Drosophila melanogaster: one gene and its partners. Each later gene encodes a partner of the first gene's protein in a complex. Each region holds a gene or a part of one and is shown in the gene's direction. Other genes may lie near its edges.

Region 1 (10,771 bases):
ATCGAGTACGAAATGGTGCAGACCATCGCCGAGCGTCTGCACGTTAGCATCGAAATGCAGGGCGAAAACAGCAATTTGTATCACCTTTTTCAGCAATTGATCGATGGGTAAGCCTGATTAATATATATAAAATATAAGGTCCCGTACTCGGTCCCGTTTTTTATTTAATAAATAATTAGTTTATGTTTTTATATTTAATCGCAGTGAAATAGAGATGATAGTCGGAGGAATAGATGAAGATCCGAGCATCAGTCAGTTCGTTTCCAGTTCCATTCCTTATCACCAGGACGAACTCACATGGTGTGTGGCCAGGGCAAAGCGCAGACATGGGTTCTTCAATTTCGTGGCCACTTTCAATGCGGATGCTGGCTTTCTGATTGGAATCTTTGTGGTTACATGCTCTCTGGTTGTTTGGCTGGCTCAACGCGTATCAGGCTTCCAATTGCGGAATCTCAATGGATATTTCCCCACCTGCTTGAGGGTGTTGGGAATCTTGCTTAACCAGGCCATTCCGGCACAGGATTTTCCAATTACATTAAGGCAGTTGTTTGCGCTTTCTTTTCTAATGGGCTTCTTCTTTAGCAACACATATCAGAGTTTTCTGATCAGCACACTGACAACTCCACGTAGTTCCTATCAGATCCACACTCTGCAAGAGATCTATAGCAATAAAATGACCGTGATGGGCACCTCCGAGCATGTCAGACATCTGAACAAGGATGGTGAGGTGAGTTACTATCCCATTTTCGATCATGGAAATTAATGGGAATTCATTTTTAGATCTTCAAGTACATACGCGAAAAGTTTCAGATGTGCTACAATTTAGTGGACTGCCTCAATGATGCAGCTCAAAACGAACATATCGCCGTTGCTGTTTCCAGACAGCACTCTTTTTACAATCCCCGAATCCAACGAGATCGTCTCTACTGCTTCGACCGCCGAGAATCCCTGTATGTCTATTTGGTTACCATGCTACTGCCGAAGAAGTACCATTTGCTGCACCAGATAAACCCGGTGATTCAGCATATCATCGAATCGGGTCACATGCAAAAGTGGGCACGCGATCTGGACATGCGACGCATGATCCACGAGGAGATAACAAGGGTGCGAGAAGATCCTTTCAAGGCTCTCACCTTTGATCAGTTTCGCGGAGCCATCGCATTTTCCGGGGGACTTTTGTTGGTTGCCAGCTGCGTCTTTGCCTTCGAGTTGTGCTACGTTAAATATGTCTATCGCACTGAAAAAAGGGAAAGGAAAACGAAAAAAATCACGAAAAAAGTTCATAATATTAAAATTCAACATGATTAGAAATTGAAGTGGCGAAAATGACTTTGGCATTTCTATGATAATTGACATGCAAAATAAATAAATAATCAAAAATCGAGAAACGGGTATAGCTACTTTACAAAGTAATAACAAAATCATTTCTGCTATAATAAAATCTTAAAAGCCCATATAGCATCTATAGCTGCATATTGTATTCTTTACATTGCACATACATATATATATTGATCACGCATACGCCCTGTATAACCAAACATGTGCATTGAATTAAAGGCATTAAATGCATATTAAATATTAAAAATATCGAAATAATGCTTGAAGAGATTCATAAATATGCTTGCATATTAATATTTTCTTGGCACAATATTCAATTTAAAAATACAGCTTTGCCATACACCGTGTAATGCAGTCTACTTGGCCGCTGCACAGTAAGAAAATGCGTATCATTTTGATTTAGATAATAAAAGGCGAATTTCCCAGATGTCCCAAATGTCAAAATTCATCTAAGCTTGATAATAAATGTTCACTAATTTATATGTAAAGGTTTTTGATTGTTTGCATCGGTACTTGTGGCTGGTAGAGGGTAGAGATAGCTACTTGAGTTTTTCACTGTTGCACAAACTCTTAATATTTTTCCTCGTGTTCCGTACTCATATCCGTAGTAGCATCCGCAGCCGTAGCTGCTGGCGATGCGGCTGGTTGTCAGAAAGGCAAACAAGCGCGCACGCCGCCAACGTCAAGCTGTCGTCGGCATTCTCCTCCGTTGTTTGGCGCATCCTTAAAAGGTGGTGGTGGCCCAATGCTCGACCTGGTATGTTCTTTTTTGTGGTGGCCTGGCTGGTTGGCTGGTGCCTCCTCTTCGGAAGACGCTGCCACAATCAAATATATGTGATTTTCTCAGATTTTTATAAATAATATTTTCAGGCAGCACATTTGTTGCAGTATCATCAAATTGGCAGATTTGTGTTGTTGCTGGCCAACACAATTCAATCAGCTGCTGGGCAGCTAATGTGGGCCGAAAAATTTCACAAAAAAATAATACACAACTGTTAACATATATTCATGTTTATTTTTATATTAATGATGACCAGCTAGGCGTTGTGGCAAACCAAATGAATGGCGCCCAACAAGGCGTTGTGAAAATGTTTGCCGATTACTCAGCTGATAGCGGGGAAAACAGAGTGAATGAACGCATATATACATATGTGGGAAATTCTATATTATTTATGGAAAGTAACATCATTAGTGGGGATCATGGAGATTGAATACAATATTTAATAAAAGTTAAGACATTTCCAGTAGGTACTAGACACGGTACATAATCATTTCTGTCAAGAAATTGTATTTCCTCACCTGTGATAATTGGCCACTCGCATACTTATCTAGATTTAAATATACAAATTTCGTAAGTTCCTTACTAAAAATAGAATTCCAAACTCTAGATACGTTTCTACGCGTAAGCGTCCAAGAATCTCTTGCAAAAACGTGAGAGCGCACGGTTTTCATTTAAATTATTTTTGCTTTCCCCGACTTTTCCATCTCATACACGGTTTTCCCACCCACACCAACACTCTCAACGAATTGAGAGAATATGTGTAGTGTAAACAACAAACGCATTTTTCCGTTTGTTATTATTTTTAAAAATTCTCATAGCACCATATAAGTCTATTAAGAGTTTTGATCATTAACTGAATAGCTTTCAATGATCTCGTTTGTGATTGATGAGTGTGTGCCAAGAAGAAAAACTCGAAGAGAAATGTTAATGGCCAAATAAGTTGGGGCGTATTAATTAATGTCAATTTGGCCAACCGAAAAAATCTGGCAAATCTATAAATGCACTATTCGCTCTATTAACAATTTTCCGTTTGTGTTTATGGCTTTTGGGTCCCTAACCAGCTATCCCCAAAACCAACAACCAACCCACCCACCCAGAAAAACAGCCCACACCCAACAAATTATGGCCGAGAGAATGCGGCGGTATATAAGTTTTGGTTTAGTTTTGAAATTCTTATTTCTAATTGCGAGTGCGTTCTCATCATCGCTGAGAGATTTCCATCGCAACCATGTATGGATTGGGCCAACGTGCAAATGTTGATTAAAAATTAGACAAAACAAAAAACGAACACGCCACCCATACATCTGCAGACACCTCCGCAGCTGCAGACAAAGATATAGCAACAGATACAAATACATATAAAGATAACGATTCGGATTCGGATGGAGAGCAAACATTACGCCTACGATTGGGATGCTCCGATCCGGAGGATCTTCTCGGGTGTGAGTGTCTGTGTGCCATCGCGATGTTGTTTACCAAGGCGCTCAGATCCGTCTGTTTCTCTGTTTCTCAGTCGATATTACACAAAGAGAAAATGTTGAAAGCTGTGACCTAAACATCACCAAGTTCACAAGCCTTTACTTAGCTTTAAACCAAATAATTAAAAGTATTAAATATTTTTCTGGCATATTTACTTAATAATATAATAATAATACTTAAGAAGTAGTTTGTGGTATGATATTTTAATATTAGAAAATCATTACACAATAGAAAATAGGTACAAAATTGATTATTTTCATTCCATCATATGCGCTTTACAAAAATCTATATTTTCTCATAACATATTTTGAGCCATCTTTCCTGCAGTGCACCATCTGGGAAATTATGAACGAAGCGAGCAGAAGTCCAAAAGCAAAAATCCAACGAAAACAAATTATTTTTAAAAGAAACTCAGAATCTCCCCCCGCCGGCGCAATGTGCATCCATGTGCACATGTGTGCCGAGAGGCGATTGAGTGTGCGTGCGGAAAATATCTAAAACGACTGAGGGTCGCCAGAATGGTATAAATATTAGCGCATCTCGGTCCAGCGACCACTCGCAGTTCTACAGCGAAAGTGTTGATTTGGATTTCTAGTTTTTCTTCGTCTAACGGTTAGTATACTCCACATCCACCAATTCCGTCTGTCTGGTTGACTTTTACCCAATCCGATGCTGGATCCAGTGTACAGTGCCCAACTTTCTGAAAAGAAAGATACTTTGGAAAGATAGAGATCTCAACAAACAACATATTTGACAAGGAGCAGAAAAAGTTTAATCAACGATCCTTAAATGTTTGGTTTTTAATAGTGACTAATTTTTGTTTAAAAAAACATTCTTTAAAATGTTAAAACTGAAAAATATTAGTTGTTTGATCTTAAATCAAAAATTATAATTAATTAAAACTTTTATTAAAGTATGTAATATTTTCAAAAGTTGAAGACAGCCCTTTTTTATTAATTTTAATGATTGCTCCTCTGCAAAGATACTCTTTCTTTTAAAGTCATACATGTTCTGAGGCAACACCTACACGTATTTCATAATTTCACACTTACACACAAGATTACAATTAAAATCCATACCCAATCCGAATACCGAAAGCCCACTTCTCACTTCTCCTTCTAAAAACCGCCTCCGTTCTCGTTGTTGTTGCAGTGAAAACAGCCAGTAGCCAAGATGTGTGACGATGAGGTTGCCGCATTGGTCGTGGACAATGGTTCCGGAATGTGCAAGGCAGGATTCGCCGGCGATGATGCGCCCCGCGCCGTCTTCCCCTCGATTGTGGGTCGTCCCCGTCATCAGGGCGTAATGGTGGGCATGGGACAGAAGGACTCCTATGTTGGTGATGAGGCCCAGAGCAAGCGTGGTATCCTCACCCTGAAATACCCCATCGAGCACGGCATCATCACCAACTGGGACGATATGGAGAAGATCTGGCACCACACTTTCTATAACGAGCTGCGCGTCGCCCCCGAGGAACACCCCGTCCTGCTGACCGAGGCCCCCCTGAACCCCAAGGCCAATCGCGAGAAGATGACCCAGATCATGTTCGAGACCTTCAACGCACCCGCCATGTATGTGGCCATCCAGGCTGTGCTCTCGCTGTACGCCTCCGGTCGTACCACCGGTATTGTCCTCGACTCCGGTGACGGTGTCTCCCACACCGTGCCCATCTACGAGGGTTACGCCCTGCCCCACGCCATCCTGCGTCTGGATCTGGCTGGTCGCGATTTGACCGACTACCTGATGAAGATCCTGACCGAGCGCGGTTACTCATTCACCACCACCGCTGAGCGTGAAATCGTTCGCGACATCAAGGAGAAGCTGTGCTATGTTGCCCTGGACTTTGAGCAGGAGATGGCCACCGCCGCCGCCTCCACATCCCTGGAGAAGTCATACGAGCTTCCCGACGGACAGGTGATCACCATCGGCAACGAACGTTTCCGCTGCCCAGAGTCGCTGTTCCAGCCCTCTTTCCTGGGAATGGAATCGTGCGGCATCCACGAGACCGTGTACAACTCGATCATGAAGTGCGATGTGGACATCCGTAAGGATCTGTATGCTAACATCGTCATGTCGGGTGGTACCACCATGTACCCTGGTATTGCCGATCGTATGCAGAAGGAGATCACCGCCCTGGCGCCGTCCACCATCAAGATCAAGATCATTGCCCCACCGGAGCGCAAGTACTCCGTCTGGATCGGTGGCTCCATCCTGGCCTCCCTGTCCACCTTCCAGCAGATGTGGATCTCCAAGCAGGAGTACGACGAGTCCGGCCCAGGAATCGTCCACCGCAAGTGCTTCTAAGCGATCTAAACACCACAGACACTGCAAACCACACGGGCATTGAGACCCAACCACACCACGCCACAGAACACCACACAACAACAACAAGAACAACATGAACAGCAACAACCAAATACCAAATCAAGATCTATAGCCTAGTGCTATTGATGATTAATCTTAAGTTAAAACCTCTTGCTGCCCTGCCATCCAAAGAAAACCGAAGGAACCGCGATTGTAACAGCATGTATTATACTTATATTAATATTTATTGGAGAGCCGCTTGATGGCGCTGAAGGAGGAGTTGAGGAGACACAAGAATGCAAAATTTTACAGTTTTAAAAATAAATTATACTAGCATCCTCTATAAATTAAATCTAAATTTTAAACGAAACGTATCTTTTATTCGCTGCAAGCGGCATGCTATGCGATTATTTTTAGCGACGCACAGGAAATTACGAAATTTTGCACGCCCACTGCAAAGAGCGAAATCTGGAGGTGGATCTCCTCGACTGGGGTGCACATACATATGTACATATGTGGCTGGGGATGAGCACGGTAATCCCAGCATAGACGCCTCCAAGACAGTCCATTTTTGCCCATTGCCAGTCGGTGCAGGAGCTGCCCCCCTCGTCGTGGATCTAAAAATACAGACCAAAGGAAACAACAAAAGCGGCAAATCAACATGCCGAAGTATTAACAAATGTCTTCTAAGACTACAGTCAACCCACAGTAGATTGAACAAATATGTGACTTTGAATGTCAGAATATCAACTTTAAAGGGATTCGAAAATATATATTTTTAAAACTAAACTAATTAGGAATACAAGAGCTCGCTGAAAACAGTCTTCGTTCAAGACCTAGTTAAGTATATTTTAGGTATGTTCCACTGTAACAATGTGTGAGATGGCCGTTTTTTTGGAGTTAACATAGCCGCTGGGAGAAGCGACCGCCGGCTGTCTTTTAAATTGCAGTGCCACGACCTCGGGGGCTGCAAAAATATCTTGGAATTTCAAGTACATTTGTGTGGCTGGTCCGGGACGCTTGTACTTGAAGATCGAGCAGACAGACGACACCAGGCAGATGGGCCTCCTCGGGACTCGGGATTCCTGGAATGGGGTGCCCAAATCGAAAATAGACGAGATACGGGTAGGGTATGTTGTACTGTATACATGATGCATAAATGCACTTTTTATTGAATATTTTATACATTTAAATGCTTCAACATCGTTGCTGTATGCTTAGACAAAAAATAATTGAGTGGATTGCTTGCACTTAACATTTCGTTGGTGTGTGGTAAGTCATTTTTTCGGTTCTGGGACCCCCGGCGGACAATACATTTACAAAAATACTCGCACAATTACATTCAATTCAGCTCATTTCGATTTGTATACTTTCAGTCAATTTTGTGGCTGCAGTTTAAAATTTCGTTGTTCTTAGTGGTCTGCTAGTTGTTAATTGGAATACTGCACATTAAACGGTCCTCACATCTCTTAGCTATAATATAAGCCTAGTATATTAAGCAGAACGCCCAACATCACGTTTTTATTTTCTGTTAAAAATCCAGTCTATACACTTACAGTTAGCGGTTGAATACTTTATTAAGTACACGGTTTAGCACATTTCGTTCCTCGATATCGCATCGGTGTATATGATATATGTAAAGTATATAAATATAGATCATTAAGGCACATTTAGGGACAGTATGCTTTTGATTGGACCTGCTCTCTCATTGTCTTTTTGTCGTTGCTCTCGCTTGGAATGCTTAAAACTCGTCTAAGTTTGTCTACGATAAAATACGAATACGTTACGTCTGCCTAAATTTCCATAGCTACCGATTATAAATTAGAACATTTAGCTTATACGCGGAGTAGGGGTTACTGTTAAACAATAATTACAACTGGGTTGTAATAACGGATTTTCGAATGATGGCCGACTCGCGTCCCTTGGGTGCCGATACCACCTCCGAGGAAACCAGCCAGGGCGATACCATGTCTTTGCTGTTGCTGCTGGACGGAAACGGAATGCGACTGCTGTCCGGATAATTGCTCGGAGTTTTCTGTGCCAAAGATCAAAACGAGTGTTAATACGGCAGGTCAAGTGGGTCAATGGCCTTAAAATGGTTAGTGGAGTGCAGATTGACATGAAAACGAAAAAAGGCGAGACAGACATCTGCGGCAAGCCGCAGCTCATATACCCTTGCAGATGATTATATGTTTACATCAGCTTATTATTATGTGATTCGACTAGGGTAGGTAAAATTGTTGTTTTCTAAATGAATTCAAATGATGAAGTCAGGAAGGGGCCTTCATATTAAAAAGCTATTTTAGGTTATAGATCCGATCACAAATTTGTTTTAAGTACTAAAGAAAAAATACTTGTTGTACCTTCTGCAAGAGTATAGCAAAACGTTAGTTAATAGTTGAGGCCAGTTTAAAGACAGACAGTAAAAGCGTAGACATAAGCTCGCAGGTGCTCAAACCTTTTCACTCGGCGGCGCATCGACTTCACTGTGGTTTTGATTCAGATTTAGACTCTGATTCATCTGCTGGTTGGTTTTCTGCGATTCCAAGCGCTCCTGTTCACTGAGCGTGGAGAAGAGCAAGGTGCCGGCACTGGGCGTCGAGCTGCCCGCCGGCTTGGCAGCAGTTTCGGCAGTGATACTGCCGCTGGCATTATTGTTTATGATGTTGTTAATGAATATTTCATTAATGAGTATTTCGGCGGCCGAGGCGTTGCTCAAAGCGGGAGCCACTGACTCCGAGGCGGTCGTGCTAACGGTGGCGGTGGGGCTGCTGGGCGTGCTGATGGTGGTCACACTGGTAAGGGTTGTATTGCACCCGCTTCCGGTATTATTCAGATTCGCAGGCAGCGACGACGGCGGAGTGAGTGGTGCACTGAATCCAGACACAAAGGTGGCATTACTATAGGGTCCATTTCCATTGGTGGTGGTGGTAGCGGTGCTCGAAGTGCTGGAACTACTGCTACTACCCGTCGACGGCTTCTGTTCCGGTATGCTGAGCGTCAGCTTATCGCCTCCCTATTTTTGTGGTTTAGCAAGCATACAGACACAAGCACATGGAAACAACACACGCAATACCACGGATAAACATTAAGTGCGGACAACGAATGGAAATAAGAACGTATAAACAGAAGGCATGAAACGAGTGCAATGCAGTGGGCTTAAACTGGTTCGCTGGCCAACAACTTACCACTGATATGTAGGTGGCGTTCAGGGAATCCGGTCCATCGCTGTGTGCATGGTTGTTGCTGCTGTTTGTGTTGCTCGTGTGCATGTTGCTGCTGTGGGCGGCCGGTACGAACATCTGATTGGTAAGCTTGGCGTTGCCTCCGGCACCCAGCTCCTCCTCAACGCGAGCTGCAGGATTTGTTAATTAATATTTCCTTAGTATTAAGCCAAAGAGAAAATGCTTGCAAAATATGTAGGCGTGCAAGAGCTTTTCAACCAATTAAGTTGGTAAACTCACCCTTTAAAATATTGCACTTGATGTTGCCAGGCGGCAGGGCCGTGGTGTTCACATTGGCCAGTTTCACTTGGTTATTGGGTTTCTCGTTGGCGTTCGAGAGGCGCTTCAGTGTCTCCGTGTTGTGGTCCATGTCGAAGGTCTTGTTGATAGTCACCCTGCCAAAATATCACACTGCCGTCAGTATATTTTTTAATATCTAAACATGGGTTACGCTACCTGATACTGTTAGCATCATTAATGGCTTCGTTTGCTAGCACTGATGGGGATGGATCTTTGACAATGGACTTAAGCAATGAGTCTAGCTCTCTATCTTTATCCGACAAGCCGCTCTTAACACTGCACAATGATGGACACAACACAGAAAGACAGATGAAAAACAAACACAGAAACAGGCGAATTAGTTAATCGGGACGTTAAAGCAATAAATATATATAAGGTACAATGATAGTATAAATACACCAAAGGTTTACCTGAGCTGACCGGAGCTAATGGAAGCCTTGCCAAAGCTGCCGTGGTGGGAGCTCGTTGCATTTCTAAATGGATTGGTTTCATCAAAGTTCTTAGTGGCGTTCGGTGAGTATGGTGGTGTGTAGTCTGGATCCAATCTTAAAAAAAAAGTTACATTTAAAAAGGGAACGGAAAGGTAATTATAGATAAACTTCTTACTTCACAGTCAATCCTGACGCCTTGCCAATAGATCCAATCTTGCTGTACGCCGGATCCTCGTTGCTGAAGTTGGACTTGAGGGAGTTGCGACCCAGCGAAGCAAAGTTGGCTGCTGCCTGGGATGAGGAGCTGATGGAGCCGCTGCAAGCCGCATCCGGTTCAATAATGGCAGAGTTTTGAATGACAGTAAGCACCGAAGGCGAAGGTGTAACAGTGATGAACTGATCCGTGGAAATGAGCGAGTCGAAGGCGTCGTTATTGTTATCGTTGTTAGGAGTCGGTGTCGATACTTGGGAAGATACTAAGGGAGTAGCCGGTGCAGGCGATTGGGATGCGGCTGCGGCAGCCGCAGCGGCAGCAGCTCGAGCATTAACCGAGGCCACAGCCGACACCGCCGCCTCCTGGGAAGCCTTTTGACGTTCGCGCAACAGGTGCGACTGACGGCTAGCAAATCTCTGCGATGGTCGTCTCTCAAATTGGACCGTTCTCCTGGCTCGACTCTGCTGCGTGGTCTGGAACTCGGTGCGACCGGAATACCGGAAGCGAGAGCCCATACGGAAGAAGTTTTGACGGGCGGAGGGGCCTTTGACCGGCGCCCTAAGCCGGAAGAAGGTGTGGTGCTCCACGGCGCACTTCCACAGGTGTTTGCACGCCTTCTCGTTGTACAGCCGGAAGACAAAGGTGTGCTCCTGCTCTCTTCCCTCGTCGTCATCCTCGATCACAATAAGAGTCAATTTCT
Region 2 (10,025 bases), on another chromosome or scaffold:
CACATCTTTCAATTTTATTTTATTTATGCAAAATCGTGTTTTCCATTAAATATACAAATGAGATTTAAAATCAAATCAAAAGTATCGCGCTATTATGCAAGTATTGGGGAGGAGTCTACAGAAATGTACACACAAATGCAAGAAAACTATGAATAAAAGTATAAAAATATTTGAATCTATTGTTTGCCTTCAAAATGCAGTTGGAATTGTTAAGTTCAGTTAACACAATAGAGTTAACACTTCGCGCATCGCCACAAAAAACGCACTTTAATAATTACAATTACAAAATTTCAATGGTAGAACTTTTCACAAAACTCTCATGCCGTTGTAAACGAATTTAAAAATAATGTTTTCTCAACTTGGAGAAAAATGTTTAAACACATGTTTTACAACAGAAAATTTCTCGTGTCTTTCACTAATTTATCAGTATCGAGGTTGAATTTACTAGATTGTTAGTGTACTATCGGCATCCACAAAGATTTGCTCGTATTGCTTTTTCTTAATTAAACTTGACGAGAAGTTGTTGATAAATGTGAATGACTTCTTGAGTTTCGACTTATAGAACATTTTCCGGTTTTTTAACTTTTTGCGAAAAATTAGGGCTTCCTTCACTATTTACTATGACGCGTATTCTGTTTGCATCTGCTGCAGCTGCTGATGATGTTGCTGTTCGAGAAGTAAGCGTTCCTGACGCTTAAAATCATTTGAGCTTGGCGTATGCGTCGACCTTTTTGTGAAACTGGTTGTAGTACTCCAGGGCGGCGTTACGCGTCTGGTTCAGCGCCTGATTGATGTTCTCGGGCGAGAGACGGCCACTAAACAAAGATCACAATCATAAGGGATGCATTCTCAAAGACAACAAAGGCCAGGCAGGCAGGCATACTTACACAAGCACCTTTTCCTTGATGAGCGCTGCAGCCTTTTCATAGCTGCTGGCGGCTAAATCGCTAACGCCAGCGGCAAAAGCTTCGATTTTGCCAGACGAATTGGGCACGTATTGGTCAATCTAAAATATAGATGGAACGTATTATTAATTCAAAACTGGTTTGCCCATGACCTCATCTTCATGGCGACTAAAAGACACTTACGAACTTTGCCACAACGGGCCATTTGGCGCCAAAGTATCCCTTGCCGTTCTGGTAAGCGTTGCAGGCCGCATTCCTCGCCAGCTTCCACAGGTCACAGGTGGTCTTGATCACCGGCTCGGCGTACGGCGGCACATTCACTTCCGCCCACTTGTAGCCCCGCGCTCCGGCCCCCATGACCGTGTACCAGGACTTCTGGACATGCGGCAGGACTCCGGCATTTTTCAGCACCTTGCCGGTGGCCGATTTCTCGAACACGCCCTTGCCGTTCACCTCGGTATCGTAGTACAGAGCTCCGGCAATCAGGGCGATGATGAAGATGCTACCCAAGGTCCACTTGCAGCATCCGCATTTCTTTTTTTCTGCCGCGGCCTTCTGTTTGTTCTTCTTCTGCTGCGCGCTGCTCTTCTCTTGGACGCTCTACATAGTACAAAATTAGAAAATTATTAAGAATCTTAATTGCTGGGGATAGTTGATATTGTGGAATCATTTGATTGAGTTCAATTTTTTACCTTTTTGGCGGCCGGCACTGGTTTGCCGCTCTGTTTGTTACTTTTCGGTTTAACCTGAGCCATTTTCTAACTTAATTTCAATGAGTTTCGATTATGAAGAGTATTTCTAGATTTCCTCAGCTGTTCGCAAAAGATGTTTAATTATTTATTGTGTTTATCATTGCAATTGTGTTTGCTAAAAAGAATGACGAGACTTTTTGAGCTTTTAAACTGAGCTTTTTTTGCGACTGAGCTCGATGACCTAAGATTTAAGAGTAAGCTAAAACCGCGAGTGAGGATGGGGATAATTAAAAATTGGAAATACGTAGTTATAATACCATTTTGTCCAGATTAAAAACATTTATATTCAATATGCAGGCTATGCTTAATTGGTGTAGATACTTTTTTTTCAATTTTTAGGAACACTTGTATAGGTTTTGCACAAATTTAATGAAGAAAACATGTATTCATTCATTGTGATGGTCTTCAAAATTAGATATATTTACTAATTACTTTAAACGTTGAAAATGAATGAACTAATGAACTAAATACATTAGTCATAATGATTATGAAAAAATGTAATCTTTTTTAAATTTGTTACTTTCACCATTATTTAAAAATAACACACCTTGTCTCTAAATTAAAGTATCATTTACACTCACAATAGTTTCTTCTGTGGACAAAAGAGTTGAATGAACTATGCCCTCTAAATTTCGTCTGTTTTATGCTTTCGGAGTGAAAGAAAGAAAGAATGATGGAAGGCCAGCGAGAATCAGGGTCACAGTGGACATGCCACGTGTTGAAGCAGCCCAAATCTTCAAATGGTTCTCTTTCGCCCCCCTTTTTGGACCATAGAATTCGGAATCGTGGCGTTGCGAGATTTTCAGGTGATAGTGCGAAACTGCACCACTGTGCAATAATGAGAGTGAGAGTGCGGAGAAGAGGCGAAGAGAGGAGGAGAGTGCGCACAAGCGGGATGTGAGAGGGGAGTGGGTGAGGGAGCAGGAGGCGAGTGGCCAATCGCAGCTGGAACACATCAGTCAATAGGAAAATAAAAATAAGCCTCAGATCAGCCGAAAATTGGGTGTACTGATAAGAATGTTGGCTGATAATGCGGCAATTTATGATCCCCGATGGCCATGCCCACTCTCTTTTCGAAAGCAAAACGTCTGCTCTGCTCGGAGAAATTTAGCGGCAACTGGAACCCGCATGGCAACGCTATGGGAAAAGTGCAGCTATAGCTGCCACCAATACCAGTGCAGAACGGCGGAATACACAACCGTTAATACTGACACGCACACATATGCACGAAACGCACTTTGCACTACTGCAACAGCAACAATAATTGCGACAACGCGATAATTAAGGTGCGGACCATTAATTTATGCTCACTCCAGGCTTCAAAAGCCAGTTGAATAGCGGAGAAATTTCGGACGAACGCCGGCTAACGCTTTCCATCTCTTTCCCGCAGCGACGTCGCGTTGGCAGCGTCCTCCTAAAGAACTCTAACTTCATTAACGGCTAACAGTTCGGCCACTTCTACGTGAAGAGTTTTACATTAGTTAGCTGCAGTGTAATAAGCTCATATCATTCTTTTTAGCACCGATTGCAATAAATTATTCACTTTTAGACGGCAGTTCTACAAGTTTATACCTTCGTTTTTCTTTTCACTAAAGCAATGTGACCAGAGTACGTAATGTACTAAGCCAGACCACTTAACTTAAACAGTGTTACCAGAGGTGTGAGAAAATTCAAATTTATAGTGTTTCTGATTTCATTTAAGTTTGAATAATAAGTTTGGGTTAAAAAAGCTAACAAAATAAATATATTACCTATATACTAGTTTTCCAATAAAACTATAAAAGATAAAACAACACACATTCAACATTCACCTTTTATCGATCTGGGATCAGAGCCTTATGCTTGGAATCGAGTGATATACTTAAGTCGCACTCACCAACAAAACCTCCTTTAAATCATCTAGGTGACCTTCGTTTCTCTTGCTTCCCTGCAGTTCTTCGTTCAGATTCGCCACATCTTGCAGAAAAGAGTGATACACAGTCGACGTAGCCAACTCATGGGTAGACGTGGTCCAATTGTCGTCTAGGAAAAGATAGAAATTCAATATTAGATAACACATTAACGTTAAGTGTGGGTGGTACTTTTAAACAAAAATCCAATTAAATGAATTTTCACAGCTGTAGATCGTACTTATAGCTTTCAGAAGCAGTAGACTAGGCAACTGTTGCTTCTTGTAGTTCATGCGCCACACCCTGAGGCAATCATCTCTGCCGCTGCTGAGCAGACAACTAATACAGCCTTCGATCTCATTAGTCTGCTTGGATCCGGCGCTTATTTCCCGGAAGAGCGTAAGGAATATGTTGGCATGCCTCACAGGACTGTTGATATAGTGTTGCTACACACAGGAGGAAGAAAGGTCAGTGAAACAATGGGACAACTATCAATTGTTTTCGTCCTTACAAGCAACAAACGCGCACTACGCTTCAGACTTTGCTGCCATTCCTTGGGCAGGTGGTTATAGGGTGCATTGAGCGCATTGTAAGTGGCAAAGAACTCCTGCTGGTTGATCTGCAGAGGATCCGCTGTCTTCCGGACAGCTGCTGCACTCAGAGCCCGCTCCATATACTCGACCACAAACTTGGTGTACTGCTTTAGCTCCAGGTTGGGCAGCATCAGGTTCTGCCACACGCGAACGCCCTCGTTTAGGGACTGATAGCCACCTTGTCCAATTGCCCACAGGATGCTCAGGCAGATGTTGCTACGGTTCTGATAGGAGTTCCTTAGCAACGCAGTCTTGGCCAGGTTCCTAGAACAAATGTTCGGCCAGTTTTGACCGATCAACTGTAGGATGAGCTTGTAGCCTGCCACTGTCTGATTGTTGTTTAGATCCGTTGACATGCTATCCAGCAGGGAGTAGAAGAAATACTCCAGGTTTTGTTCGCCCACACTGCCCAGAAACTCCACAATTGAGTACTTGAGCGAGGCGCTGGCCAAATTGCTGGGATACTGAGCCGAGCGGCCGGAGAAGATGGGATCGCAGTCATAGGACAAGGCTTCATTGAAGTATAGCGCAATCTGGGGGACAACGATAGGTGAGCAAATATTTAGGCACATTTCCTTTAGAAACATACATGGCTTAACCAGCGCAGCTCGGAGCCAGGACAACTGAGCTTCACCTGCTCCAGTTGGGCAGCAAAATCATCCCGGGTGATGTTTCTCAAGGCCAGCTCCAGAGTCTTTGGCTTCGATGCGGCTGCCGACGTGGTCCTTTTTTGGGTAGAGGCATTCTTTGCGGTGTGCTTTTTAACTGGCGACTTATTGGCTTTTGAGGAAGATGAGGCACTTGAACTAGATTTCGCAGGGGAATGGGACTTGCTGTTGTTGTTGTTGCTGCTGCCGAACAAATTGCGATACCGCTGAGTTGGCACTGCGAAGTGAATAAAATGGCAGGGGCAAACATGTAATCGCATTGCAAGGTGCACCTTTTAAAAGATTCTTACACAGCTCCTCCAGTTTGGGCAACTGGGCCGCGATGCGCTTCTGCTCGTTGTGTGCAGACACCTTCTTGTCCAGATTCTTTTGCTTGCGCGACTTGGAGACCACCTCCCATTGTTCCGACATGTTGCGAGCAGTCTTTTTATCGATGGTATTAAATTAAATCAGAAAATGCAGGCAGCCGGCAGAATAAAAAGCAACAAGCCAAGAGTGTGGCCAGCGCAAGTGTAAAGTAATGTGGTCTACTTTCGGTAGTTGAATTACCGACCGCTTTTTAATGTGATTTTAAAGCAGCTGCCTGCTTTTTGTTGTGATACATGTAATAGATAAATAAATAAATTTAGCTATGTTTTAAATGTGTTTGAATAACTGCCAATGCAGGAGAAACCATTTTCTTTACCAGGGCTGAAACGCATACCAAAGTTGTAAAGCCTCTGCGATATATACTATGTTTGCTACATTGGTCACACTGCTCTGCTTGTTTACATTTACAAATTGTAAAATATTATTATTTAATAGCTGCTTTAAATCATAGTTTCTATATATAAATAACAAAAATGGCTGCCTCGCGATCACGGCGCAACAATGCCGGCAACAAAATAGCTCATTTGCTCAATGAGGAAGAGGAGGACGACTTTTACAAAACGTCCTATGGTGGATTTCAGGAGGACGAAGAGGATAAGGAATACGAGTGAGCACTAATCATTTGAATAAATTTAAATGCTCAAGCCATATAAAATTCACTCTGCAGGCAAAAAGACGAAGAGGAAGATGTGGTTGACTCCGACTTCAGTATCGATGAGAACGACGAGCCCGTTTCGGATCAGGAAGAGGCGCCCGAGAAAAAGCGGAAACGCGGTGTCGTTAACACAAAGGCTTATAAGGTGCGAACCATTCTTAAAATGCGATAAAATCCTGTGATTACTGAATGTGTTTAAATGGTACATATGATTTCCGCAGGAAACCAAGCCTGCAGTCAAAAAGGAAACAAAGGCAACGCCGGCCCTGCACAAGAAACGACCTGGTGGTGGGGTAACGAAACGGCGGCCACGTCCACGCTTCACGGTCCTCGATTCCGGCCGCAAATCCATACGCACTTCCACGGCCATCAAGACACAGGCTACCAAAATACGCCTCAAAGAGTTGGACGATGCCCGCAAGCGCAAAAAGAAGAAGGTGCGCGTGGAGGACTACATGCCCACGCAGGAGGAGCTGCTGGAGGAGGCCAAAATAACCGAGGAAGAAAACACTAAATCTTTGGGTGGGTATCTAAAGCAACCAAGGAAGCAGCTATTTTACAATTTGCTGTTGCATTCACAGAGAAATTCCAGAAAATGGAGCTGGAGAAGAAGAAATCACGTCCCACCAAGCGCACGTTCTCCGGACCCACGATACGCTACCACTCACTAACCATGCCAGCGATGCGAAAGCCCACTCGCGGAGCAAACCCTGCGGTCGATTCAAAGGATCTTGCTGGGAAGTGCGAACGCACATTCGTTACAATCGAGAACGATTTCAATGACAAGGTGTTTCAAAGCCTCTTCCGCCACAAGGCGCCTCCCAAAGCCAGCAATGGCATCTGTCCAATCACCAGGCTGCCAGCCCGTTACTTTGACCCGATCACACAGCAGCCATACTACAGCATCCAGGCCTTCAAAATTCTGCGCGAAGCCTACTACATGCAGCTGGAACAGCAAGGCGGCGGCAGCGAGCAACCCGAACTGGCCAAATGGCTGGAATGGCGCAAGCTGGTCAAGGAGAATCGTCTGAAGGCTTCGGCAGCTGCCAGCAAAAACGGAGATAACTAATAATGCTATCAATTTTATAGTTCATTAAGCTATACGTATTTTTCGAATAAAAAGGTATAAGAAATCACAAACTACTCTTTGGACAACCCTCGTCAATTTCAGGCAGTACCAAACGATTACCTAATATATTTCATACAATGGCGACAATGGAAAAGTAGTACATAGGGTATTTCCCAAAACGTTATCTTTAAAAAGTATTTATAATCAACGCACAGTCTGTTTTGATTTTATTTATCAGCAGCATCCGGTTTATTAACTTAAGAAGTTGATAAAACAGTTTACACAAAAGAAAGTTTATCTTGCTAATCCAATTTGTATATGTAAAACCCATTTATTACCTTTTAGTATCTAATTTTAATTGCCGCTCTATTTAAAAGTTTAGTTGTCTAAATAATAAAAGCGTCGCAGTCTTCTATTAAGATTATTCAAAAGAATTGTTTCGCTTAATTTGCGTCAAATTGATAAGCACACAGCCTCTCTTTGCAATATATAACAAAATCTGGAGGAAATGCGGTTGTTCCGACACACAATAACTAATTAATAAGTATGAGACATTACATCACATAAATTATTAACCCATTGTATTCTCTATTTATAATCTATGGGCGAAGTATTGTTCATTTCCGAATGAAATTGTTTTTCAATCCTAAACTCTTACAGGGAATTAGTTGAGTGGGCCCTGCCGCAACCTTGTCGCATCTGTATGTTTTTGTCGACTTATCAAAATCAACGCACGCGCTGGCTATTTGAATTGTCGGAACGGGAACGGGACAAGGTATTGTGTGAGCAAGATTTAGTCATACCCGTGAGCTTAGATCAAACGAACGTCGTGCGTTTAAACGGAGAAATGAAGAGCTGTGCGGCGATTGGAGTCCTTCTGGTACTGCTACTTCAGTACGAAGTGGTTAGGACGGACAGCGATAGCAGCGACAGCAGCAGCAGCAGCAGTGGAGAGAAGAAGCACAAGCACTCCAAGACGGAGCACAAGTACAATTATCCTGCATATCCTAATCCGGGCTATCCTCCGTATCAAGAAATGGGAGGCTATCCTTCATATCTCTACAATCCGTACATGCCGTATCCTCCGTATCCTCAAATGGGAGGCTATCCTTCATATCCCTACAATCTGTACATGCCCCCACCACCACCACCACCGCCACACCCGCAACAAGCTCCGCCACCATCAATGTATCCACCCGACCCGTCCGGATATCCAGGCGGCTATCCACCGCAGGGGGCTCCCGGACAGAATCCAGTTAACAACCCAAATGCGATCCCCAATCAGCCTCAGGCACAGCAGCCTGCCAGCGGCCCGGGATCAGGGCCTGCCCCGAACTATCCTCCAGGCGGCTCGAGCGTTATTAATCATTCCCTTAAGGTCAACAAGGAATACAACGAGGACGGTCACCACCAATCTTCAACGTAGTCGCAGTCGAGATACAATGTTACATGAAACTTTAAACGTCGGATTGGGCCTCAAGTTTCAAGTCGGCCTTCAATACAATGTAGCAAAGTCGAATTAAAGATTTAAACAGTACTTGGAATTTTCACAATTTTCACAGTCTTTGATTAAATAAAAGAAAGAAATGTTCTCTTACCATTGTAAATAAAGACATTACTGAAAAGGTAAAACGAGATATTTTAGTATCACATATATTTCATAATATAAAAGGTACTTGAATATGTTTTATACACAAATGTACAAAATCATGTATGTACATATTAGGCAGTCTACTTTTCCACTATTGTGCTGTGGTTATACAAGTGCACGTGGTAGACGTAGCTGTTCATGCATTTCTGGATACTGAGCACTAGTGGGTCAAAGGGATGCCAAATAAAGGCGCACAATTCCCGTGGCGCCAAAGGATTTAAATGCCGGCGGGCCGTAGCGTGCAGTCTAAACTTGATTGAATCCGTGGCACGGTCAAGAAACACAATAGGATCGTTGCAGCAGCGATGGGGTTGCTCCAGAGGAGACACGTACCGACTGTCGTATCTAAATTCGTTGAACTTTAGATAGGGCGACGAGGAAAGGCTCTGGGAGCTGAGTGGAACGCTGGGGTTGAAGCGCAAGGCCGTATGTCGATCGACGGAGACCGATTCATTGGAATCCGCAAAGGTATGCCTTAGGAAAAAATGCATGGGCAATGAAGGTGCATCACCGAATTGCAGCGATCGATCATTGCTCATGTAGTCATTGAATTGCAGTAAGATTTGCAGCAGGTTGACGGAATATTCCGGATAAACGCCAACCACTTCTTCGCCAGTTATGGTGTAGAATACATACAAGCGGCGCGGTGATGTAGCCATGGGCATGGTATCGGTACCATTTGGCCGCTCTTCATAGCGCAACATTAGAAGTTCATTGTTCACCAGATGCATTCTCTCCATGATCATGTGTTCTATCTAAATGAGATATGTAAGGATGTGAAGACCGTTGTCACTCTTTATAATGTTACTTACATACTCAAAGTTTTTATAAAACGACTTCTGACTTTCCGTCGGGTTGCCACTTTTATCATTAATTTTACGGTACAGAAAGCTAAGGACGCGCTGTTTAATGTGCGTTATGGGCAAAACTGTGGTGGCGTCAAGATTGTCAAAGTCTGTGGTAGCCTTCTCGATAAAGTCCCTCGGCCTGGGACCAATAGTCTCCTGCTGGTGGAACTTACCGTCATTCACCCAATAGACGTAAACGCACTGATGCAGCCGGGACATCATCATCACTGTTGAGCCAAACACGGAAATTCCATGATTGTGGGCAATGACGATGGAGTCGTTAGGCAGGATAAGTCTATCTGTGACGACGCCTAGCTTCAAATCCACCAGAAAGAACACATACGAGAAGGCGTCCACTTTGTCGAACAGATCTGGGTACCGTACGTAGTCATCGACCGGCAGTGCGCCGCGCACAACGGTCATGGCAGCCAGCATGGCATAACGACCCTCTTCCAGGAACACACTGAACTCCCGGTGCAGATAGTAGAGGCCAAAGTCGCCTTGGCATAGATTCAGCGTCTCTTTTGTGGGAAACAGGCGTTCAAAGATCCTGCTCTTGAGTATGGTGTCCTGGCTACTGAAGCACTCGCCACTGCCTACATCCGCCTGGCGAATCAGTTCACCCA
Region 3 (9,999 bases), 1.9 Mb from region 1:
AAAAAAAAAAAACGTTGAATTTTAATGAAAACGCAATCGAGGCAAATTTTTTGTTCGCTTAAAAAACACACAGATATACATATATATATATATATAAATCTGCATGTGTATGGGCCATAAGTCGATTAAGGTGACACATTGAGTTATGTTTGCGTTGATTCAGCACAAAATTCCCATGACATCTTATAACTTTCGGCAATGACATATATATAATCGAAAAATGGGCCTACACCAAAGAGGTTTATGAGTATTAAGATCATCCTTATCAAGAAATGACGTTATCATTAGGAACAAAGTTAATATTTCAGGAAACAAAATGCGTATATGTATAACTCATTTTTTATATCTAACTAACTATGGCCAACTAACAAGCCATCCTTATGAACTGGCACCTCGCAATTCCTACTTTTCTGCCTAGTTTACAAGTTACAGATATTTTCCATCTGTATCCGACCTTATAAGATCTACCTTTCCACACAAAATTTACAAATTATCGCATGGAAAATTCGGAATTTAATCATACAGAATACAGAATTTTCTATTCTTAGAGTACGATATATACACACGTTGGTTCAAATGGGTCTAATGCATATAGATTCTTTAGCCAAATGCCTTGGGCGATACTCTAGCAGCTTTCCTGCTCTCTATTTCACTGTTTAGTATCTGTAGCACACACGGATTGTATCTAAAAATAGGACAGCCGAGGCATCTGTTGAATATCTAGCCTCTCCACGGATATTACTTAATACTAAGCTGAGAGGAAGGGAGCTTTCTGGGAAATTCTTGGCGCATTTCGCCTACGTTCGCTTCAGATTCATTTGGCAGCTAGGGCCAGCGGTCGTGGATCAGATTTCAAAGATACAAAACTGCAAAGTAAATGCGCGTGTTGCCCAGTTACTTGGAAAATAGGCTCAATGAATTCCTAAACATTTTGGATTAAAGAAAATTATAATTCAGGAAACCATTCCATAGCAAGGATAGCTATCTTGAAGTCTATCTCATTGATCTTTATCTTAAGAATGATTCCCTTACTTTCTCATATACAACATGACAATTTTAGTTTCTGAAAGGAGGAAAGAGAGCTCGATAATCCTCCTTTTGCCTTAATTCTTTACTTCTGCCGCTAAAATCTAAGATCGTTCGAAGTTCCCACTGACCATGTTTATATATCTCATGAAATACGTTTAGCTGAAACCCTATATAGCAACTTGCGGTTAGCAGACAAACTTGACAAGGTCCCCAGAATCGTTATTCTTAGTTTTTTTTTCGCGATCTGCAAAGGTGCTTAACCTCTATTTGGGTTTATTTCGATTCTAACTGGGAAAATTTTCAATTTTTTTCAATACTTGCGGATGATTAGGGTTGAGAATTGCACAGCACTTTGGTGGATTTTAAGTTAGATATTGCAGCAACGTTGTGGTTATGTAATTATACTTTTTGGTTCGATCCTTTTTTTTAAATAAGAATCGAATTCTAGCACAGTTAAAATTATTTTTGAAGCACTCGACAAGTATTTTTGTGGAAATATTCAGCGATATCTTTGTATTTTTTTTTGTATAATTTTTTACTGATCAACGATAACGTATTCCTTTTTACTTACAAAACTTTTATTCGGAGTTATCCGCGACTTGAACGGATTGTGATGTTCAACTGAAAATATTTATTCAATATGTTGACGTTCGATGCTCGCCGCTTGGTCGATTTCGAGCGGCTTGCGCTGGTGTGTGTGCGTGTGAGCCGCCGCGCTAGTGCGCCTGTGTGCGTGAGTATCTGTGTGCGAGAGTGCGCACTTTTCGGCCAAAAGCGAGCATATGTTGTTGCTGTCTGCGCCTACTTTGGAACTGCACTTGGCTCTCAATTTACCCCAAGAGCATCGGTAAATTGCTCGGCCGGGGTACAATAGCTTATACACTGCGCGAAATCAACAAAGGGGTGCATTTGTTCTTATTTATATACTCATATTTAATGTAATCATGCATGCTTTCTAATATCAGGACATTTAATATGCACTTTTGATTTAATGTATTTATAAATTTATGTCGCACTTATCATTTATCATCATTTACTCATGCTACTTTTGTTATTACAAATTTGAATTTTGAAATTCATTTATAAATTATATTAAATGTTTTTTTCATTCAGAAAATACTCCAAAGTGAAATGGGCTATGCCAGTTAAGAAAGCTGTACAACATTTCTTTACCCCTCAGCCCGTAATATATTTAATTTATGTTCCTATCCGATTTCTGCCAGTGTAACGGAAAGCATAAGATCAGAATTTCAAATACAGTTACAATTTATACACACACATTCAAGCCCGGCGCCTGCGCTCTCTCTCCGCTTTCTCTCTGCCTCTCTTTTCCGATCCTTTCCTTGGTGCTTTCACCTGTTCGCTGCACATGTATGGGTAATGCTCACTCATTTCGAATCGAATGCCTTTCTTTCAGCCTATTTTTGAATATTTCCCCGTATTTTGAAAAGCTCTTTTCACCCAGTGTTTTTGCCCATTGCAAAATATATCCAATACTTAGGCAATCGTGTCTCTTTTCCCGATGAGAGTGTATTGGTTTGGGGATCGTTTTGTTTTGCTTTTTGATGTTCTCAACTTCTATTTTTAATTTTCAGTTATTGATATGCCAAAAAATCTTGTTTCACGTAGTTATACGTACGTATTTCCCCCATAGGTCTACAGATTATTATTTTCTGCTCTATATATTAAAGCTCTTTCTATAGATTTTTCAACGTCATGTCTGCGAACGGAAAACATTTTGCTGGCAATCATAAATGTCACATATGAAAGTATACGTTTTTTTGTAACTGTCTCGCAAGAAAATGCATCCATGATTCATGCTTTTTTAAATTGCAAACGTGAAAACGGTTGAAATTCAGTTTCCCCATAATCGTTGAGTTTCCGATCTGGTGATATGCATATTTGCCCTTCTAGATTGCTTGCTTACTCGTTGATCACGCCCTTTTAATCTTATCGCCAACAAAATTGTTGGAGATCTTATATGTTCGAATGCAACTAAAGTCTTTAAATATAAACCTATAAATATAAGCCAATTTGATAGCCCCAACATATATACATATATGTATTTACTTATTCCATTTTTTGTTGTTCTCTTATCTTGGAGAACATTTGCCAGTCCGAGGTTGATGAAAATTTTAAAATTAACTCAAACAACACCCACAAAATGACGTAATTGTATTCATTAAAAACAAAAAGTTTTCGAAGCAAGAAAACTAGATCAATATATTTATAAAGACAAAGAAAAAAAAAAACAAAGAAGACATAGACATGGAAAAGACCCTTGAGAAAACGTCGAAAAACATTGTAAAATAGCAAAACAGTCTGAGCAACTTGCTAAATACGAAAACGAAATCATGGCCATCGAATCCGACCCGTTGACATGTGTTAGTTATGGAAAACCAAAGTTTTCATAATTCCAAAATATACGCGAATTAAATAAGTTCATGAGTGTGTAGCACTCAGCTTGGCTCAGACAAGTGCGCAATCTTGTTAGAAAAATCGCGACCATATTTGGCGAAAATAGTATGGAAAAGTTTAATCCGGGCTGAGGGGCATAGACGACTGGGTTTGGTTTACACGGGCAGAAATTGGCTTTATATAAAAAATATATTTTAGTTATTTGTGACGGGTTGTTGGAGAAGTTTTACTTCTTAGGTATGTAGCTCATTGTAGGCTCATCAGGTTCAATACTAAATGAAAACCTTGGTCTTTTAATTGTAATGATATTATTTCCCATTGGGCAAATCACTCAACTAAAAGACTGTGCGTAGGGTGCATTGCAAACTGAAATATAATCTATTGGGAAAGGGGTGTGGGACTATCCCAGTCTCTCGGGAGGGGGGGGGGGGGTGCCTCTGATGACTCAATTGGCGCCGGCTCCTTGTGAATGAAGCCGCAGCGATCGCGAACTGGTTGGAGCTGTGGGCAGCAAAAGGAAATCTTCGCCGCGAGCTACTTGCCTTGCCAAAGCCTGCAATTGGCCAAGGTGATCCGGATCGAATGTCGTGTGCATGTGAACAGCGTTTTGGCGCTCTTCAACATTGTCAGTGTCAATTATTTGAAAACCAAAGAGACGGCGGGGACCTTGAACTTATCGTCGAACCCCATGCAAATGGTGGGCATTAGGCGTGCGCCGGAAAACAATGTTTTGCAATTATTCAGAACTTGCTCGCACTTGGCAGGGACAACAAATCTTTCGATTTGGATTCAAGGACAACTATTTTCAAAGACGACACCAGCTGCACAAATTGATTGACATAGGCGCCTAGTGTGTGTGGCTAAAATAAAGTGCTGTGTGCCAAATTGAAAATAACTTTTTTCGATTACAAAATGTTATGTTTTAAATATTCTTGTTAATAGTTTAGCTTAAATTCAATTATTTTTAAAACTATCGCCAAGTTATTTTAATAAAATATAACTACATTGCATATGATAAGAAATCGGTGTTCAAATTTTGCGCCAATTTTTTTATTATCATATAACTGGTCACACTTCGTTCTCAACTTGCAGTGTAACCGCATGTGCCAAAATGTCATAACACAAAATAACAACAATGTCTCTCGTGGATAAATTAAACTATTACAGCACACGAAAATCGTTCAAATATGGCATACCCTTCCTCATCATGATGGTGGCTGGCTCCTTTGGACTGCAGCAGTTCTCCAACCTCAGGCTAGCATTCAAGAATCTCCGGGAAATCCTTAGCTAACTCATGAGTCTCCTCCCTTTACAGGTATCAGTACGCCAAGAAGCAGCCGGTAACGCCGGAGGAGATGAAAAAGTACGGCGTAAGCATGAAAAACCGCAAGGATGTGACGTTGGAGTCGGAGTACGACAAAGTCAAGTCCGTGGACATAGAGAACTGGGAGAACAAACGCGGTCCACGTCCCTGGGAGGAGCAGGAAGATCAGCCGACGACAGCGAAGCACTAGACTTGATGCCTTCAAAATCATTAAGAAAACAACCCATAAAAACAGACTGTTTGATGTACATAGTCATAAATAAATCAATATTGTTAATATCTACCAAGACAATACCCTGTAAATAATCGATAAGTGCATCGGTACTGTCCCATCCGATAGCCCTATGCGTCACGCACGGTCACTCTAGGATTTGTTAATTATCTATTATTGAAAATAAAATGGGAGAAGTAAAACCCGCTAAAGTGGAAAACTATAGCACGGGGACCGATGCAAACACTCTGTTCGTGGATGGTAGGGCAATAACTTAAGCCCAACTATAAATCAAATTAAACACATTGGCGCCATTTGCAGGGGAACGGGTTCTGTGCTTCCACGGACCGCTCATCTACGAGGCCAAGGTTCTGAAAACAAAACCCGATGCGACGCCGGTTGAGTACTACATCCACTACGCGGGCTGGAGTAAAAAGTGAGCAAAGCTACTAGTATGAACACCGATCTGCATGAAAGCCATTTCATTTTCAGCTGGGACGAGTGGGTGCCCGAGAACCGAGTCCTCAAGTACAACGATGACAACGTCAAGCGACGTCAGGAACTGGCTCGCCAGTGCGGCGAGCGCTCCAAGAAGGATAATAAGAAAGGTGAGTTCAGTAACAAACGCAATTCCTGGAGTTGTAAATTAAGGTGTTTACATACCAGGCAGCGCCAAGGCCAAGAAAATGGAACAGATGCGGAACGAATCTCGTGCCTCGACGCCGTCTAAGGATAGCAACACCTCGCAATCGACCGCTAGCAGCACACCAACAACTAGCGCCGGACCGGGAAGCAAATCGGAAGCCGGGAGCACTGGCACCACGACTACTAACAGCACCGCCAACTCTACAACCAGCCGGGCCCACCGAAAGTCCACACAATCGACGCCATCCACAGCAAGACCTGGCACGCCGAGTGATAAAAAGGAAGACCCCGCCGCAGCTGAGACCACTGAGGAAGAGGGGCCGGTGGCGCCGAAAAAGAAAAGAATGAGCGAACAACGGCCTTCTCTTACGGGAAGCGATGTAGCAGAAAAGCCGTTGCCGCCCACTACCACTCCATCCACACCCACCACGGAGCCGGCACCGTGTGTGGAAAGCGAGGAGGCCTACGCAGCTAAGGTGGAGGTCAAGATTAAGATACCCGACGAGTTAAAGCACTATCTGACCGACGACTGGTATGCGGTGGTGCGGGAGCACAAACTGCTGGAGCTGCCCGCCAAGGTTACCGTGCAGCAGATCTCTGAGCAGTATTTGGCGCACAAGAAGTCCGTGAAATCGACCAGTGCCAGCAAGGAGGTTGCCATAAACGATGTACTCGACGGAATTGTAGAGTACTTCAATGTAATGCTGGGCTCCCAGTTGCTGTACAAATTCGAACGCACCCAGTACGCGGATGTGATGCAGAAGCATCCGGACACACCGTTGTCCGAGCTTTACGGATCTTTTCACCTGCTGCGTCTGTTTGTCCGCCTTGGCTCAATGCTCAGCTACTCTGCGTTGGATCAGCAGTCCATGCAGAACCTACTCACGCACGTGCAGGATTTCCTTAAATTCCTCGTAAAGAACAGCTCAATATTTTTCAGCATGAGCAACTTTATCAACGTTGATCCCGAGTACGTGCGAAATGCACAGTAAGCAATAATCTTTTCTTGACTTGAAGTAAATATTTCATCAAAACAGTTTGCAATAATTCGGTGGTTGCTCTCAATTTGCTCCCAAATTGTAAATTAAAACACAAGTAAAATGTTTTGTCATAAGGTAATAAATGTCAGCACCTTGTATTAGTTCTTCGGTTTCGCTTTTGTGTCTTCATCATCGCCCTCGGTCTCCGTCTCGCTACTACTACTACTACTGCTGGTGGGATAGAAGTCGCGAAGATCCCTAGGCTTATCCCGCTCCTGCTGTTCCTTCTCCAGGTACTCATTCTGCACCTTAACAATCTCATCGCTGCTCTTGCAGGCTGCATAGGCATTGAGAAGCTTGTCGTTTAGCTCCAGAAAGGCATGACCCCATGAGAACTTGCCCAGAAACCAGCGAGCCTCTTCCGTGAATCCACAGATGTATAGAGTGGCGGCTATGGCCTCCACGCAGCTGAGCTTGCAGGGCTTTCCGTAGTTGATGGGATTGGCGGCCACCAAGAAGGGCAGCAGTCGCGGATGTGGGCTGCGCATCCTTCCAAAGGGCGTCTCGTCCAGCTTGGCCCACGAGCAGTCGATCACGGCCACGCCCGAAGAGGCCACCACATCGCGATCCAGCGGACTTACACACAACTGGCCAACGGGCGAGAGGACAAGGCCAGGAAACTTCTGACCCAGTCGAAGATTTGAAATGAGTCCTAGGCGTGCCAGTTTCCTGCCCGAACACTTCTTTGGATCGCAGTGGTTGAGGTCCCACATGGCCACCGCAAACTCCGGCGGCTGGCCGAGATCATTTTGGGCTCCATCTCCCGAGGATTCCGAGTCGGAACTTTCATTTTCGCTGCTACTGCTGCTGGCCAGCTCGTTGGCCTGCTGAGCAAAGCTGCGGGCACAATTGTGATTCGCTTTGACATTGCGGTAGGGTCCTCCTCCACCCTTCTTTCCTTTGCCGCGGTTCCGTCCACTCATTATGTTTTGGTTTAAAACTTTATCAAAGCAAAAAAGAATCAAAGTGTTTTTAACGTCTCGTGGTGGCCAAGCCGACGACCCGTTTTATATATTTTGATTGCAAAGAAGGGTGGCGCAAGAAATGTGACACATTACGATGTCACTTTTCAAAATTTCAATAGTTTAAGTAAATGTATTTTGTTTTCAACTGCAAAACAATATTTATTAAAGTATTTTAAGTATATGTATTGTGTTTAGTAAGATTTAGCTTAAACTGCAATAACCTTAAAGTATATCATATTCAAATATTTTTAGACTTAACGATTAACTTCATCTGCGTTTACGTCACCTTAAAAATGTTAAGCATGAGACTGAGGTTATCGCATGGCTATCGATAGCTGCCGAGCGCAACCCTGTCACGCCAACGATGAATGGAAAAGAATATGGCGACCTGACTCTGGAAAAAAATTATAATTTGTCCGGCAAAAGTAGTGTGCAATTCAAAGAAATGTATGTATTAAAAGTGCAATTGTGCGGCGATTGTCTGAAAAAAGTACATTCAATCAAAGGACACGCAGTAAACAAGCCGCTGAGGTCAAAGTGATTTGTGCGTGCCCCAAAAAAACCATTGTTGTGTGAAGTGGACAGGCGCGCCAAAAGGGCTCAAAAAATGCCACCCACCGAAAGATGCCAAAGTTGGACTTACAAGAAAACATTGCAGAATTGCGGACAATGAACAATTACTGATAAATAATACAAGAAGCCTGGCGACGCGCACATCGCACACATACGCCCGCGAAACTGTCACACGTACACAGGCGTATATCGATATTTGCGAGTTGCATTTCGCGCCGTGGCGGCAGAGCAAAATAAACCGAATAACCCAAAATCAACGGGCGTCTATTTGAAACTAACAGCGGAATATACCATACTTACTAATTGTTATTCTTTCTTGTTTTACCCATTCACCTGCGTCCCATCCCAATACGCTTTTTCCGACTCCTTACCCCTGCGTGAGTACAGTTGCGCCCTGAAGCCAGAGCAAGCGAAACCACGGGGAGGCTAACGATAAGGATACGGAAACGGAGAGCACGGCCACTAGCCAAGCACACAGCAATATGGGTGAAGTCAAGTCCGTGAAAGTGGACAACTGGGGAGTCTTCTTCCTGCAGAAGCTGCAGAACTTCTTTAATAAAACGGATTACTGCGATTTGACGCTGCAGTTTCGGGACAATTCACAGCTAAAGGTACACCGTCTGGTGCTCAGCGCCTGCACCGACTACTTCAATGTACTGGAGCAGACCTGCGAGATCGTCGACGATGCCCTCATCATGCCCAACGAGTTCCAGGCGGACGTGGTGGTGCCCATTGTCAACTTCATGTACACAGGCACCCTGGAGTTTGAGCTTAAAATGTACGGCAAGCTGTTGCGCACCGCCAAGGAAATGAACATGACGGTGCTGTTGAAGCTGCTAGAGGCGCACCGTCGCACCATGGAGAACGTTAATCGCCAGCAAAGGGTGAGTGGTGGCAATTCATCATTTGTGAAAATATTTTGTAACCTTTTATTTTCTTTAGCCGCCTAGTCCAAAGGGAATACGCCGGCGCACAGTTGGACAGCCCAGTTCGGGTCTTCCACAACAGCGCGTCTTGGGTCCTTCGCCGCAATCGCGAAACGTAGCCACACCCATCGCGCAACGAGCCAACACACAGCGCGGGTCAACTGGCAACACAATGAGCCGAACATCAGGTGGCTCAAATCGTTCGCCGTATGGAGATAGTAGCAATGTGAAGCAGGAGCCAACGTCACCATTCGAGCAGCTGCGAAAGGGTTATAACAATAACAAGAGACCAGCACAGACAAGCCTGCTATCGCCGCCATCCAAGAAGCCCAGTTTGGAAGAGGTTAAGGAATTCGCTGAGCAACAACGGATGCGAAAGCAAATCGCCGCTGAGTACGGAGATAACGATCCTGAGTACGATGGAGGAATGCTTTATGATGATGTCCATGCCGGGGACGATGATGACGATGATATGCCACCGCAGCCATCTACATCTAAGCAGCAATCCCCACAGGGTACACAGACCCAACTAGAACATGGATCCACCACCATTATCTTGAAACAGGACTCACCCAGCCAGACCCCAACAATAATTGTCAAGGACTCCTCCAACGCCAAGCTGAATCACACCAAGATCATTGCCGAAGTCTTGCGCCAGTATCCGCACATTGTAAAGGGCCACAAAAACATAAAGCTAAAGATTATGCCCAATACCCCGGCAGCGCCGACCGAAAAATCTGCTCCAGCGACAGTAAAACCCCCGGCGAACCAGTCATCCGCAACTACATCGCCACACAAGAAACTGCACGTTTCTTTCAAAGCCGACAAGAGTACGCCACTAATCACAGCACAACAGAAGGCGGCTAGC

The links.
Region 2: Act87E (region 1) and YL-1 share a complex: the UniProt entries of both Drosophila melanogaster proteins name them as parts of the tip60 chromatin-remodeling complex.
Region 3: Act87E (region 1) and MRG15 share a complex: the UniProt entries of both Drosophila melanogaster proteins name them as parts of the tip60 chromatin-remodeling complex.

The regions. Positions count from the first base shown.
Region 1 is NT_033777.3:13,421,833-13,432,603, forward strand, and holds Act87E (actin 87E), read left to right. Parts: upstream 1-4,150; 5' UTR 4,151-4,210; exon of another isoform or gene 4,211-4,346; intron 4,347-4,614; exon of another isoform or gene 4,615-4,750; 5' UTR 4,751-4,771; coding exon 4,772-5,902; 3' UTR 5,903-6,543; downstream 6,544-10,771. Other genes in the region: Ir87a (ionotropic receptor 87a), read left to right, coding at 1-107, 205-727, 781-1,308; yrt (yurt), read right to left, coding at 7,773-7,937, 8,361-8,918, 9,091-9,257, 9,367-9,521, 9,583-9,702, 9,837-9,971, 10,033-10,771. UniProt on the Drosophila melanogaster protein: Actins are highly conserved proteins that are involved in various types of cell motility and are ubiquitously expressed in all eukaryotic cells.
Region 2 is NT_033779.5:10,964,905-10,974,929, forward strand, and holds YL-1 (YL-1), read left to right. Parts: upstream 1-5,538; 5' UTR 5,539-5,649; coding exon 5,650-5,783; intron 5,784-5,843; coding exon 5,844-5,976; intron 5,977-6,052; coding exon 6,053-6,353; intron 6,354-6,412; coding exon 6,413-6,900; 3' UTR 6,901-7,189; downstream 7,190-10,025. Other genes in the region: Tmem214 (transmembrane protein 214), read right to left, coding at 701-815, 888-1,006, 1,089-1,505, 3,534-3,679, 3,788-3,992, 4,058-4,672, 4,729-5,024, 5,098-5,218; CG16743 (uncharacterized protein), read left to right, coding at 7,604-8,326; abo (abnormal oocyte), read right to left, coding at 8,632-9,306, 9,364-10,025. UniProt on the Drosophila melanogaster protein: Part of the Tip60 chromatin-remodeling complex which is involved in DNA repair. Upon induction of DNA double-strand breaks, this complex acetylates phosphorylated H2AV in nucleosomes and exchanges it with unmodified H2AV.
Region 3 is NT_033777.3:15,273,205-15,283,203, reverse strand, and holds MRG15 (MORF-related gene 15), read left to right. Parts: upstream 1-5,094; 5' UTR 5,095-5,170; coding exon 5,171-5,243; intron 5,244-5,303; coding exon 5,304-5,418; intron 5,419-5,474; coding exon 5,475-5,590; intron 5,591-5,633; coding exon 5,634-6,619; 3' UTR 6,620-6,764; downstream 6,765-9,999. Other genes in the region: l(3)neo43 (lethal (3) neo43), read left to right, coding at 4,583-4,701, 4,763-4,961; CG4338 (uncharacterized protein), read right to left, coding at 6,766-7,590; Cp190 (centrosomal protein 190kD), read left to right, coding at 8,688-9,089, 9,148-9,999. UniProt on the Drosophila melanogaster protein: Part of the Tip60 chromatin-remodeling complex which is involved in DNA repair. Upon induction of DNA double-strand breaks, this complex acetylates phosphorylated H2AV in nucleosomes and exchanges it with unmodified H2AV.